Caenorhabditis elegans: one gene and its partner. The protein of the gene in region 1 interacts with the protein of each later gene in a biochemical or structural test. Each region holds a gene or a part of one and is shown on either strand. Other genes may lie near its edges.

Region 1 (7,989 bases):
GTGTTTATATGTGGAAGGCTTAGCAGACGGACTGAAGATGGCACGTACGAGAAAAATTGCGGACATGGGAAGCATGGAGGATCATAGACTAAAAATAAGATAACTGATAAGAGTGCAAACTGTAGATATTCAGAAGTAACGTAGGCTGTTGAGGGGAAAGGATAATTCATTTTAAGAATAATTTCAGTTGCTATTCATACTTTAATTGTAAAAAATCAGAAGTATAGGTCATGATAGAAAAATTAAAATGAAAAAATTTAGAGTTAGGACTGTTATTGAAAATATCTCAATTTTTTGTGCAAAACTTATGTTAGGCTAGAAAAGGAACATATTTTCAGTAATAGAACTAATTAAACTGACTACACAACTGGAAAACAAGAGTGAAACGAGTATGTATATTGTTTGTTTTTCTCTTCGATATTTGCACTTTTCGTTTTCAGTTATCTGGTTTTTCAGTTGGAAAAATAGTTAAAGCCGGCACAAAGTTAATGACTGAAAGACTCAAACTAAAACTGAATACATTACAAATAAAGAAGCCAGGAAAAGGAGATGAATTTACTGAAATGCTAAGAGAAACGAGCGGTGCAAGAGTATGCGTGCGTGATGGAGAGAAGCGGGTGAATTTCACAAAACGTGCCGAAATCGAGAATCGAAAATGGGAAAGTTTTGCACAGACAACGGGAGGTGGACGCTTAGAGACAACGAATGGAATAGTGCTGATAACAATAAATGCACACTGCTGATCTGCACGTCGTCTTTTAGAAAAGAGAAAGAGGAAAAGAGTGAAAACTACCGTATGTTTCTTTTTCAATTCCAGAAATTCTAATTTTCATTCCAATACATTCTCTCTTTTTCTGTTTATTTCAGTCGCTGCATTTCCATGCTTGTTTTGATGTGAATTTCCGGTTTCACGCTTTTTTCAGGTCTACGTGACATTCTCCTCATATTTTCTTATCGAGAGGAGAACGACATCCTTTTCCGAGACGATGCCGTTCATTCTTTTCCATTTGGATGGGAAAGTGGAGGAAGATTCTCATGAGGGTGAGATAGATCAAAAAGATATTCAGAGAATAAGTGAAAGAAGAGCTACGTGAACTTTGACACATTTGTTGGTATAACAGGAAAGAAGAAGCATTGCGACTCGAAGAAAATAATGAATGAGCTGCTTTTTTGCTTCCTCGTCCGGTGGATAACTGAACAATGAGCCGAAAAATAAAAGTAATGGGTTGAGAGGCATGATGAGCAGAAGTTAATGACAGAAGACGGTAGAAATTTTTTATAAGTTAATAATGAATCGTGCTGGGATCAACAGATGAAAATAGACATTTGAAAATGAATTCATATGTTCCACTACATTTTTTGTGTTTCCATTCTAAACGGAAGGACTTCTGAACGGAATGAAAAAGCATGATATTTTCTTAACTCAATAGTGCTCATCAGATTTTCTGAAGAGATAACAAAAATATCAAGTATGCTCACTATAAAACTTCCAGTCTTCATCAAAAGTGAATTTTTCTGTCACCTGACTCACTGTCTACTACTATCATCTCCGAACCCTTTGAACGCGTGATCCATCCCTGTCTACTCGTTCCTATCAACATCAAACAAATCGAGTTCACTTCCATTTTATAATTACTCAGAGAGCACAAAACCGACCAGCCAATTTATTTTGTTGCTGTGTGGCTCTGTTTCTAACCGCTTGGTTTAACTGCCATTTTGTGCAGCATTGCCGTCCGCTCCACACACACACACGCTTCTCACAAATCACGTAAAATTCGGGAGGGCTCGCAGAATCCGCACGTTGGCATGAGCCTAGATACACATATTCACATCAAATAGTTGGTATTTTCACCAATGAAACTAACATGGAAATACGGAAATAAAAAGGTTTTGGCCTTTCGATGAGACTTTAGATGATTACGTTTACTAACCTGAATATCCGGATCATCAGTTTGAATTATCTTTTCTTTTCCAACAGTTATTGTCTCGCTTTTGCCTGAACTTGTAGCTGAACTTGTCGTTGTCGCTGGAGGTGGAATAGTTGCTGTGGAAGCAGTTGACGGTACCGAAGTTGTGACAAGAGCCAACGAAGCTGGTGAATCTCCAGCAAGACTCAAAACTTGAGCTTAAAGATCTTTTATATCAAAAAACTGTTAAATTGGTAGCTTACCGAGTCTACTGATATCACTTTGAGCAGTACTACTTGTTGGGAACATTGCAAGGGAAGCTGATGACATGTGTTCAAGTGATGCTTCATGTGATGTGCACATGGAAGACATTGATTCAGAAGAAATTGAATTAAACACATGCGTATTTCTGTATGGTTTGAATGCACTTCCTTCACTACTGAACGGTACTGTACTTGTTGATGATATCCTTTGTGGAATTTGGATTGGAATCGATGGCTCTGGTTCGGTCTTCGATGTGATCGAAAATGTTGGCGGAAAATTTGAAATAGTTTGATTCAGAATTGGATTATTTTGAAGAGATAGAAGAAGTGACGTGGTAAGTGCAGGATCATCAAACGAAACAGTAGGTGGAATTGGAGCCATAACAGCAGGTGCTGCCTGAGGCATCAAATTACTTGGCACCATGCCACTTGTTTGAAGTGACTTGCATATCATTTTATGTGTTAGCCAATCGAGTTGCTGGAAATTAGATATTGATTCTGAGTTTCGTATTGGAAAAACTAAAAGTTGTAGAACTATTTGAAATACTGAACAAGAATAATACCCTCTACTTCCTCATTTTGTTTTTGCATGTGTTTTTAGCAAATTGTATTCAAAATTTTGATCTCATCTATGGCAAATAAATTAAAAAATTGCAAGCGTCTAAAAATTGAAATCCATAAGTCGCTTTAAAAAAATTGTCTACGTGACACTTGTGATGTTTCAATTTGTGAAAAGTGCACGGGCGTGGCTTGATTTGGGTTATGTCTAATGAGAGAAAGGTGTGATGTTTAGTAAGAAAAATAAGTTGTTGAGCATAAATCAGAATATTTATGAAACGACGTGGGAAACTAAACAAATTTTTTATTTGCATGTTGTTGATGGACGTGTCTAGAAAAGTAATAAGATCAAAAAGTTGACAATGGGAACACAAAAGAGGAAAAGTTTTAGAAATACGAATGAATCATATTGTGATTTTTGTTGCACTCAAATAAGGAAGTAAAATATTTTGAAGCAACATATTCTCGTCTAATAGTATACTATGGCCACAACATATACCTCTAAGAATTGTTTCCGTCTTTTGTTAAAGTTTGATATTTCCCAACTTTTATGCTGAATAATTTAGGAAGTTTAAATGTAGAGGGTCACTATGATTATATTATTAGTGGTTCTTATTGAAAATTATATTTTTTAACGAAACAAGTTTCAGAACTTTTTCAATACTTTTAATAACTAGACTATTGTTCTTGAGAACGTCACAACTTTTTCTGGGTTATCTACAATCCTCCGTCCAAATTCCGTCGATAAAATCTAAAATCGCTGCCACAGCTTTTTTCTCGAAATTAAAATTTCTTCCTATTGTCATCATCTATTTCCCCTATTTCATTTTGATGTTTTTGCAGTAAACACAGACATTGGTCTACAAATGTTTCTGTCTTTCTTGTCTGCGCACATATGCTTCAAAAAGCTCTTTCTCGGGAGGAGGGCAGCCAGCCGAAATGTTCGAATCGACACGTTCTTGCGCGATATGCAGGTTCAGGTTATTTTCCGAAAAATTCAACAAAAATAAGACAACTATAATTGGAAGTAGTTGTCAGAAACAAAGTATAATTTTAAACAGGAACTAGATTTGATTCCCATAAATAGCCAGTTCAAAAATTCGAAAAGAAGGGAGGAATTAGAGTCAAAAACAGATTTAGGGTAGATGCATCGTGAGAAGGGACGGATTACGTGAGAACACTTGTTTATCTAATCAGCAGGACCCCCATTATTTTGTTGATCAACGAATACACCCTACGGTACCAACCTGGTGCTCCTTGGAACAATAAGCCACTGTTCCACAGAATAAACATGTTTGCAATTGGGAAGATGTGCACGAGCTTCCACAATATGTACACTGTAAAACAGCTGTAGAAGAAGATGGTTGACTGAGCATCTGAATAATTATTCATTATTAATGTGACCCAAATATGTAATTCTGAAAAGTTATGCTTTTTTGAAAAATGTACGATTTCAGTGATTTTTAACTCTAATGCGAATAGGGGTTCCATACTACAAACAAAACTTCAAAATTGCTAGACTTAATAAACTAGTCCCATTGATGCAGTGTTCACCACATACAGAAGTACAGTATCCTTTTTACAGATTTTTTGAATAGTGAATTTCAGAAAACAGAGTAATAACTGTTTAAAAATCACTTAGGTAATTCATTTTAGGTGTTCAATTTTCAAAGGTTGGTAATAAGAGTTTAAATTTTCTAACTAAAGTAGTTTAACATACCAGCGTTGTAAAAAGTGAAGCGGTAGAAGGTGTTCCCTTGTCGATCTCACAGTCATCATTTGGGGCACTGCTCATGTCATGTGCTGCAACTTTTTTCTGTCACATTCAGTATCTGGCAGTGATCAGAAAATAACCGAAAAATATGTGAACGTGATAAAATGAACGACGTGGCACCGAAACTGATTGTTTGCGTGTCTTGTGTGCTCATCTCTCTCTCTCTCTCGTGCTTTTTTCTCTCTCTCTTTGCATTTCTCTTATCATTAAAAAAAATGTCCATCTTAGCGTTGATGATTTGCACGACGACATTTTGCCGTTTATCACACGAAGAAGTTAAGAAAAAAAAATTGAAAACGAAAAAAACTGTTCTCAGTACTAGATGAACGGTGAAAGAAATGTGTGGTGGTTGTGATTGGACGGATCAAAGAGACACGATGACAAAGAAAATCGAACAAATTTGATCAAGAAAACAATATAGATTAGAAGTAAAACAGAAATCACAAGGGATTATCCTGGTATATTGTCTAAATAGTAATAACAAAATATGGTTTCATTGATTCAAAAAGTTATCTGTCAATTGATGCCGTTAACCTTCAAATGAAATTTGATTTCAACGTTTAAAAGACGTGTTATTCAGGTTAAAAATTGTTTGATATAAAAGGAATGTGTAGTATGGACTACTCTTCAATAGTTTCCGGAAACACTTATAATTAAAGTGCACTCTTAATCGGCCTTTGAAAAAAAAATGAAATGAGAACGTTCGAAAGAAAAGTTCAGAAATATAAAAAATTAAACTAATTCAAGTAACACAAAAGAAACGGTTTCAAAACGGAAGTTACAGACTATTTCTTTGCAATTTTTAAAAATAATTTTAGGATTTCTCGGTGGAAATCACTTCGACCTTCATCATTGATACGGTAAATCAAGAACGATTTTCTTAAAAGTTATTAAACTGAACAAATTTACGATACATTGTACTCTATACACCAGATGGCATGAACATAGAAACACATTTTTTGGGAATAACGAGACAAAGCTTTGAAATAAGGAATATCTGTATTTTTTCTTCAAAACTTGAATTAATATGTACATTTCAGCAAAGAAAAAACAAAGAGAAATCTTATGACCAATCAAGTGAACACCAATGAGATGCTAAACAAGTTTGACTGAACTTCATCACATGGTAATAACTTTTTATTCATCAATTTTAAAATTTTTATGTTCTAAAATGTTGTGCAGGGTGTTTGGTGTCAAAACAAGGTTGCATCAATCCAGAGAAAAAGAGATGGAACATATTACGTCACGCACTTTTTTACATTCCCACACCTTACGAAAGAGGGCAGAAATTGAAACGAAGAGAAATGAGAAGAAGATATGGAAGGAACAAGAGTTTTGAGAGAGGAATGTGAGACAGATGGGTGCACTCTTTTGCGACATGTTTCTTGCCTATTCCAAAGATCACTCTTTTATATTTGAATAGATAAAAGAGTAGATCTTCGGAAAAGTTTTAGGAAATTTAAGTGTAATCAGGTACAGTAGTCATAAGAAGATCGAATAATTGTTTGATAGTTAAAAAAAAGAACTTTGATATAATAATTGAAAAGTCCGTGATGCTTTACCCAGTTAATTGGAAGAGCATAACAAAAAATGCAATGCGCGGAAAATGACGAAGCGGGAGATCTTTCCTCTTCATTTTCTCTCTCTTTTTCTTCTCATTCTCTCTTTCACACACATACACGCATATAGGAGGAAATCGAGAGATAGAGAGAGACACCAAAACTGTCTACGTGCGCAAATGAAAAATTGGTAAGACAGTTAGAGACACAGACATAATGGTAGATGAGAGCACGGAGACGCAGATTGTGTTGGAACGTGAAAAGCGCACGCTCACATGCACGCGCACTCTGCTTCTCCACCAATCTCTTTACTATCTCAATGTGGTACAAGGTGTGAGGAGATTCGGAAAGGAATGGTCTTTGAGGTCTTTCGTGGGTGATGCAAATTTTTTTTAATCTTTAGCATAACTTGTTGCACATTATGCTGATTTTTCAAGAATTAAGTATAACCTGAAAACTGAGGACTGTTATTAAGAATAAAATGAAGGCATTACTAATTGTCAGTTATCAAGTATTTTTCTGAGGAAAACGTTTGTTCGCTGCATAGAGAAAACATGAATCTTTGAGATAGAACTTGGAAAAACAGTGCAATTTTCTTTTTTTCATGGCCTATAGAATTACTCCAGGTACTGTTTTAGCACACTTTTGGTGTTTTTAGTATGCTCATGTGTAGATAAATGTTGTGGTAGTTTTTGAAAAATTTAAATGTTGAAAAAAAATCACATTAGTGGGTTTTGAAAAATGTCACATTTTTTACAAATATTTAAATTTTTCCCAACATTTTGATTGAGTGATATAATACTTCTAATTAGAATTCTAAATGAAATGGCACGCAACGTTTTGTATTCTGCAAGTAAAATGGAACGTTTTTCTTTTGTAAGAAATTTTGAGAAAAAAAACCAAAATCCCTAAATGAAACCGTAAAACATTAATTAGATTATTATTAAGAATTCAACTGCTAGCAGATTTTTGAATTAAAAAATTGACAAACAAAATGATCTTGAATCGTTGTAATTATTTAATAGATCAGTCTCACTCAGACCTCGCAATTGTCATTACAACACAATAGAATTTGAAATTTAGTCGATAAACATTGATCATTCAAAGTTTAGGTCGGATAAATCGTCATTTAAAAAACGGAAAAAATCTCACAAAACAAATCACAACATTTTCAGACGCTCTTTCAAAATATGCAAAATCTTAAACTTCAAAGACATTACCATATTGTGAAAAAACATCTGTCAGTATATCGTGAAATGTTTTCTTGGTACGTAAAATTAGGAGTTGAAATTAGCTCGTAATAATGTGGCTCTACTTGGAAAGAGTGTTGAAGGTGTCATATGAATTATGACGCACAATGAAATTATTAATTTTAATGAAAGCATGGTGTTTGAACACTTGTCATCAACTATAATGTACCCCCTTCATTTTAGAATGAAGTATAGAATTTTATGAATGTCAAGTAAAGAAACATAAGTAACTCTATTTATTGTTGAATCGACAAATGAGATATAATACGGTTGAAACATAGATTTGAGATTTGGAAACTCATTTTGAGACAAATTATAGTTTCAAGAAGGATACACAACTAAAAATGATTCACTGGAGCAAACATATTCACACGTGTTCAACAAGGATAGAGCTAACAAACCCACGAGTTGCTCAGAAATAAAACTACGTCACTTTCTGAAAGTTTAGGAGCGTCAAAAATAATCTGAAACATTTTCCTAAAGTTTCTGAGCTATAAAACAATGTTTTTTATAAATATGTTAATCTGATTTTTTAGAAGTCGCTTCACACTTTAAAAAACATTGCAACCCTACTTTGTTGTCAAATATCAAAACGTGTTCAATTCATATATTCAATGCTGAAATCTTTATCTGATTCGTCTGTGAGTAATATATTCTAAAAAACTTTTATAAATGTCA
Region 2 (5,900 bases), on another chromosome or scaffold:
AACTTTTCCATTACTCTTTTCCAAAAAGATGGGTACGTGAACCATTTAAGTTTATGTCAATTCAACTGAACATGTTCAAAGGAGTCAGCTAGAAAACTGTGAACTTTCCGCTCAAATAATTTCATAGTGAAACCATCAAACCAGACCTCCGTGGTATAGTTTTCCGATTTGATAAAGATCGCGTTAAATATCCATACTACTAATTAAATTGAACTTCTCGCTTGAAACCACATGCAGCGTTTGTCTCGTTGGCCACCACTATCGGTGAAAGAATTTTTCTGGCGATTAGCCAAACCAGGTTTCATTCCTCCTTATTAGGGTCAGTGTTTCTATCTGCACTGACCTTTTCATGAGACATCGACAAGCCTATTTCATGCCTCACTGTGCTAATGGTTTAATTGTTTTTAAAAAAGTCGGTTATCCTCCCAGTTTCGTCAGTTCAACACCAATCTTAGTGTCTGCGGGTTCAAAGCATACAAGCTATCTTAGATCACAGTACAAAACACTAATTGCATTTATTGAAAAAATAGACAGCGGAACATTTACATGGAAAAAATACGAAAGAATGCAAATTATTATAATGTGTAGGTTTTTTGATTGAATTACCAGCCGATTTATCATTTTTAGTGAGTAACAACCTTGATAATTTTTGGGTGAAAGAATTTAAATGAAAGAAAAAAGAAAAAAGTGAGATGAATTTTTGATTTAAATCACTCCATAATATCATAGTTGTGAAGACATAACTTCTTCAAGTTTGCCTCCAAGCTTTCGACTGCCAGAGCCATAGCGCTTTCGCGGATGTCGGTGTACAAAGGAGAGGTCCTGGAAAAATGGTTTTTAAGATCAATCACAGTAAATTGTACATGATTACTACGTTAAAGATTCAATAGTTGTTTAACTTTCTATCAGAAATACTCAACATCCGAGGAATCAGATGCAAACTACTAGCTCACATCACAAGTAACATTTTAAGTCAGTCATCTTACATGTATCGTTCTCCACAGCTTGGCAAACAAGTCACAATGAGCTTTCCAGCCATTTCTGGGCGAGCAGCCAACTGAAGTGCAGCTGCAACATTAGCTCCGGAGGAAATTCCTAAAATATAGAATTTTAAAAACATACTTCTTTCAAACTATCAAAGCAAACACAGTCACACAACCTACCGCCAAGAAGACCTTCTTCATAGGAAAGTCTTTGAGCCATGACAATAGCCTCATCGGAATGAATTCGAATTACGTCTTCATAGATCTTTGTGTCCAAAACAGCTGGAGCAAACCCTGCTCCAATGCCTTGAATTTTGTGTGGACCGGCTGGTCTGCCGCTGAGTATAGCGGATTCTTCTGGCTCCACAGCAAACACGCGGACACCTGGATTCTGCTCTTGCAAGTATCTGCCAACTCCGGTAATTGTTCCACCAGTTCCAACCCCAAAAACAACAGCGTCTACTGTCCCTTTGGTTTGTCTCCAAATTTCTGGTCCAGTTGTTTGATAGTGAACAAGTGGATTATTTGGGTTGTCAAATTGAGCAAGAATGATAGACCCTGGAATGTTTTCCTTCAGCTGGTTAGCCATGTCAATCGCTCCTTTCATTCCTTTCGCTGGGTCTGTCAAGACCACCTCGGATCCATATGCTTTGAGAAGAGTTCTCTGTAAGATATATATTTTATATGTTAAAAAATTTTCAACCCGGAGATTTGTTTAAAATCACAGATGACACAACTGTACTCAATAGCTAAAAAAAAAGGTTTCAGTACTGGCAATTCCTGGGGTGAAGATTTGCATCCATAAGATCAATACTCACGCGTTCTCCACTCATAGATGCTGGCATTGTGACAATACATCTATACCCCTTGGCGGCAGCAACAAAAGCCAATGCGATTCCAGTGTTTCCTGATGTTGGCTCAATGAGCGTGGTCACTCCCGGGATCACCTTAAAAAATTTTAATGCAATTTTTTGAACAATGGTATTGTTGATGAAGCACCGTTCCATCTTTTTCGGCCGCTGCAAGCATTGCCGCTCCAATACGATCTTTGACCGATCCCGCTGGATTCATGTATTCGATTTTTACAGCTGTAAACTTGAAAATTATAATAGGATAATTGGACTTTTGTTTCTTCTTGAAAATTCAAAACATTTTTGATTTGTAAAATTCAATTTTATCTACGTTCTGGTTTTACTATTTTTCGTACTTTCTTTTAAGTGAGACTATTTGTCAAAGTTATATTTTGTTGAGAAGTTACAAAACTCGGTTACAGTGGTATTGCATAAAAGAAACAAAAAAATTCAAAGTTTCACCAGTATTGTTCAAAACATTTTTTAAGATTTCGTTTAATTCAAATGAATAAACCAACCAACTGTCCCTGGAAGTCCTTTTGTCAATTTATTGATGTACACCATGGGTGTGTTGCCAATAAGCGCGGCAGCATTTTCGCCAATAGAGTTGCGATCAGCCATCTGAAACATCGACTATGAGTTAAATGAGAGTGTAGACAATAACGAGAGAACGCAGAAAAGGGAAAACTATATCACAGGAAAGAAATATTTTAAACTATCAATGACTATTGGCACGGAAACAAAATATTTTTCTATCATCTGTTTCTGCTGGTTTTGACACCAAACTCCAAATGATAGTTGGACTTTTAAACAGAAGGAGATAAGGAGATAAAGAAAATGTTATAAGATAGGGAGAGATAGACGACACATGTCTAAGTACATGTTGTGTAGCGGAACGAATGCACAATCAGCTGGCATTTCTTAAAGGTTGGCACACATCTAATGAGCCATTGAATGAACATTCTAAGGAAGCAATGAGGAAACAAACAGAACACGCAACACAACGAGCAAGAGATAGAAGAATATCCCGTTGTTGTATCTTATAGAGCAGCTGCAACGAGACAGATTTATAAAAATGAAGTGAGCAAGTAAGGAGAGAATGAATCCACGATAAGATAATAAAACAACAATAACCGCTCAGTATGACATAATTGCATTATGCAAATGTCGGTGAGCTGGAAAATTTACAATGGGAAAAGAAGAGATGATATCCATTTATTAGAAACTGGGACATTTTTGATGATAAAAGGTAAACCACTTCGTATTTTTCCCGAAAGTATAAATTAAACTTTTTAGGAACTCAGACAGAGTTATTTCAAAAAATTGTTATTTTCTAGATCAAGCACGATAAACTCCAAACATGGAAAAGCATTTACATGTACATCTATTATAGGTAATTAGGAATAGTTTATCCTGAATAACCTTTATGAGTCATGAGTTAAACAAAACACGAAAACGCCCCACTCACCGGATTAAACCAATGAAAAGTACTTGCACGTTTCGATATATACTTAGTGTTCTTGTTTTGTAAAAATAGCAAATGCAACAACTAACCGGCTGGTATTATTTTGATCTTTTGAAACTGCACTTATTAATGAAACATTTCATTCTTTGAAGTGGAATCTTGTTGCAAAAATTGAAGGATGTAAAAAATGGATCTCCTGTCATCTAATAGAAACATTCACACGCTTTTTCCATTTTCTTTTTCTTCTAAGAAAACTCCGAGAAGGATGAAATAGGAGGTGATGGGGAGTTTTCTTAATAAAAAATATAATGAACAAACGATCAAATTACACGATATCGCGAGGCGTTTTCAGAATTTACTTCAAAAAGTAAACTTTGATCATTTTAAAACGGCAGTTCTTAAAGAGCATTAGACCTTTTTACAGTTTCTATCTGGATATGTTTCAAAATTCTTTGAAAACACATTTGATGATTGAGAAAACCAATAATAGTAGTGTCGAAATAGTGTGAAGTAAGCAAAAAGTAGTAGTTTGCATGCAATAATGTCCAGAAAGCAAAAGGTCACTCGTGCTATTTCTTCTATGCACTTCAGACTTCATCAGTAGCATGGGAAAATTCCCACGTCGTCCAGAAACGTTGAATATAAGAATTATACTGTCGAGCATGCATTTATCTCTATATCTTTTGCAAAAAGATATAAAACACAAACGATAAAAAGAAAAGAACAAAACTGGATTGTGGAGACCTACCAAGGTTGATAAATAAATTAAAAAGCGGTAACAGAGACAATTTTTGTTAATTTCTTTGTTGATGAAATTACAACGATGAATTGAATAACAATTTCCACACGCATGCTGTTTCATTCATATATACTTTGACCACTGGGACTACTTCTCAGTTAAGATGTAGAGATCAAAAGATGAAAATCTAGCGAAACGCATACGCATGGGAGCATAACTGACGGATAAAAGCTTATTAGCTTTGCGACCAGAGTAGAAACATTAATATGGACCTCGAGAGCATTAAATGTAAATGAAAGAGCATGCAGAACACTCGGGATTTGGGAGAATAAATTGAAAACTGGTGAATCGGTTGTCGCTATTTAGTTTCGCAGTGTACTTCTTGCCATTTTATTACAATGATGCCAAAAACAGTTGCGAATTAAATTTTCAATCTAGAAAAGAAGATAAAAATCTACTTGCTAACATGAAATTCGAACTTCAGAACAAGTTTAATCGTAAGCTGAAGAGAGGTTTCTCGAAACTACATATATAGAAAATCCGCAGCCTTAAGAATTCACACATCAGAATGAAGTATTAATGAGCAGCATGCGCTTTTCTCTGAACCCTTGCACATAGAACAACCAAACCTCACATTTTATAATGCATGCAGTAAATTCAAAAGGGAAGTCACAAAGTACAATTTAGGGGTACTCGAAAATGACGCAAAGAAAAATCAAAACAATAACGAATCACGTAATAACCATGTGGGGGTGTTGGTTACACACCCGCTAAAACTATTCATCTGACAAAATTTGAATATTCAATTTTTTATTTGAAAGAAAATAGATGACAACAAGGCACTTAAAGCAAGCAAAAATTATCAAATACCCAATAAGACTTCTCAACATTTGTAAATGGCGCACGCTGTTTAAAAACTTGAATGAAATTCGGTGGCCTTTTGAAACAGATGGATTTTCAAAAAAATACATTGAAAACACATTATGTTTAGAAAAAATCAAAATATTTGCAATTACATCATTAAAACGATTTATGAAATTTGGTTAAAATTAGGCATATTATAGATTTGGAACTTAACTACAAACATTCAACATTTTAAGAACTAAAATTCACAGAGAAAATGCAGCGGAATAACAAAAAGTTTTTTGTTAATGATTTATTTAAACATACGGGTTGCAAAACTTAAACTTTGCGAAGCACGCATTCTTTGCTGATGAAGCTGATATTTTGCAATAAAATATTCTAAGATGATGCAACTATGAAATGGGTCCCAATTTTTTTCATAAATTTTTGTGTTTATGGAACAAGTTGTGACGTTAGAAAATATTACGAACAAAGGACAATCAGATCGAAAATCAAAAAAGTTCATACTGCCTGCCAACGCCACAGGTTTTTCTAAACATAGCAACCAGTTTGAAAAGCCACAAAAACTCCAAATTTCTAACTTTATTCTTTGAAGAGACACGAGTGATTACTAACTAAAGCAATACCTGGAAACTGATGTGAAAAAAAAATTATTGAACATTGCTAAAAGCATTATATTTTGATCTCAGCTCAGAGAACGATCAATTTTCTAAAAACATACATCTGGAAATTTACCACACCAATTTTTGTCACGGTTCAAATTATATCTTTGATAAGATTGTGGCTGAATTGGATTGCATATAAAAAGAAGATGAACAACTTGACTATGAAGAGATCAGTTTTCAATTTGTCAAACAACAAGTACCGTAATATATTCTAGACAATCTATAGCTACCAAGGGACAATCGCTGGAAAATTGAATAACAATAACATTGGTCAAATTGGTAATGAGGCAAACCTTAATTAGTATTTTTATATTCCATAGCACAAAAACTTGA

Evidence for each region.
Region 2: of the proteins of egl-9 (region 1) and cysl-1, one has a biochemical effect on the other in vitro, tested with the Caenorhabditis elegans proteins (2 studies listed by BioGRID, with this or other methods).

What each region holds. Positions count from the first base shown.
Region 1 is NC_003283.11:10,465,059-10,473,047, reverse strand, and holds the start of egl-9 (Hypoxia-inducible factor prolyl hydroxylase), read right to left. Parts: upstream 4,532-7,989; 5' UTR 4,524-4,531; coding exon 4,449-4,523; intron 4,105-4,448; coding exon 3,976-4,104; intron 2,649-3,975; coding exon 2,171-2,648; intron 2,126-2,170; coding exon 1,932-2,125; intron 1,816-1,931; exon of another isoform or gene 1,754-1,815; intron 1-1,753. UniProt on the Caenorhabditis elegans protein: Cellular oxygen sensor which regulates the stability and the activity of hypoxia-inducible transcription factor, hif-1. In normoxic conditions, hydroxylates hif-1 targeting it for vhl-1-mediated proteasomal degradation.
Region 2 is NC_003284.9:9,952,079-9,957,978, forward strand, and holds cysl-1 (Cysteine synthase 1), read right to left. Parts: upstream 2,456-5,900; coding exon 2,353-2,455; intron 2,072-2,352; coding exon 1,983-2,071; intron 1,931-1,982; coding exon 1,802-1,930; intron 1,648-1,801; coding exon 1,164-1,647; intron 1,096-1,163; coding exon 987-1,095; intron 823-986; coding exon 711-822; 3' UTR 501-710; downstream 1-500.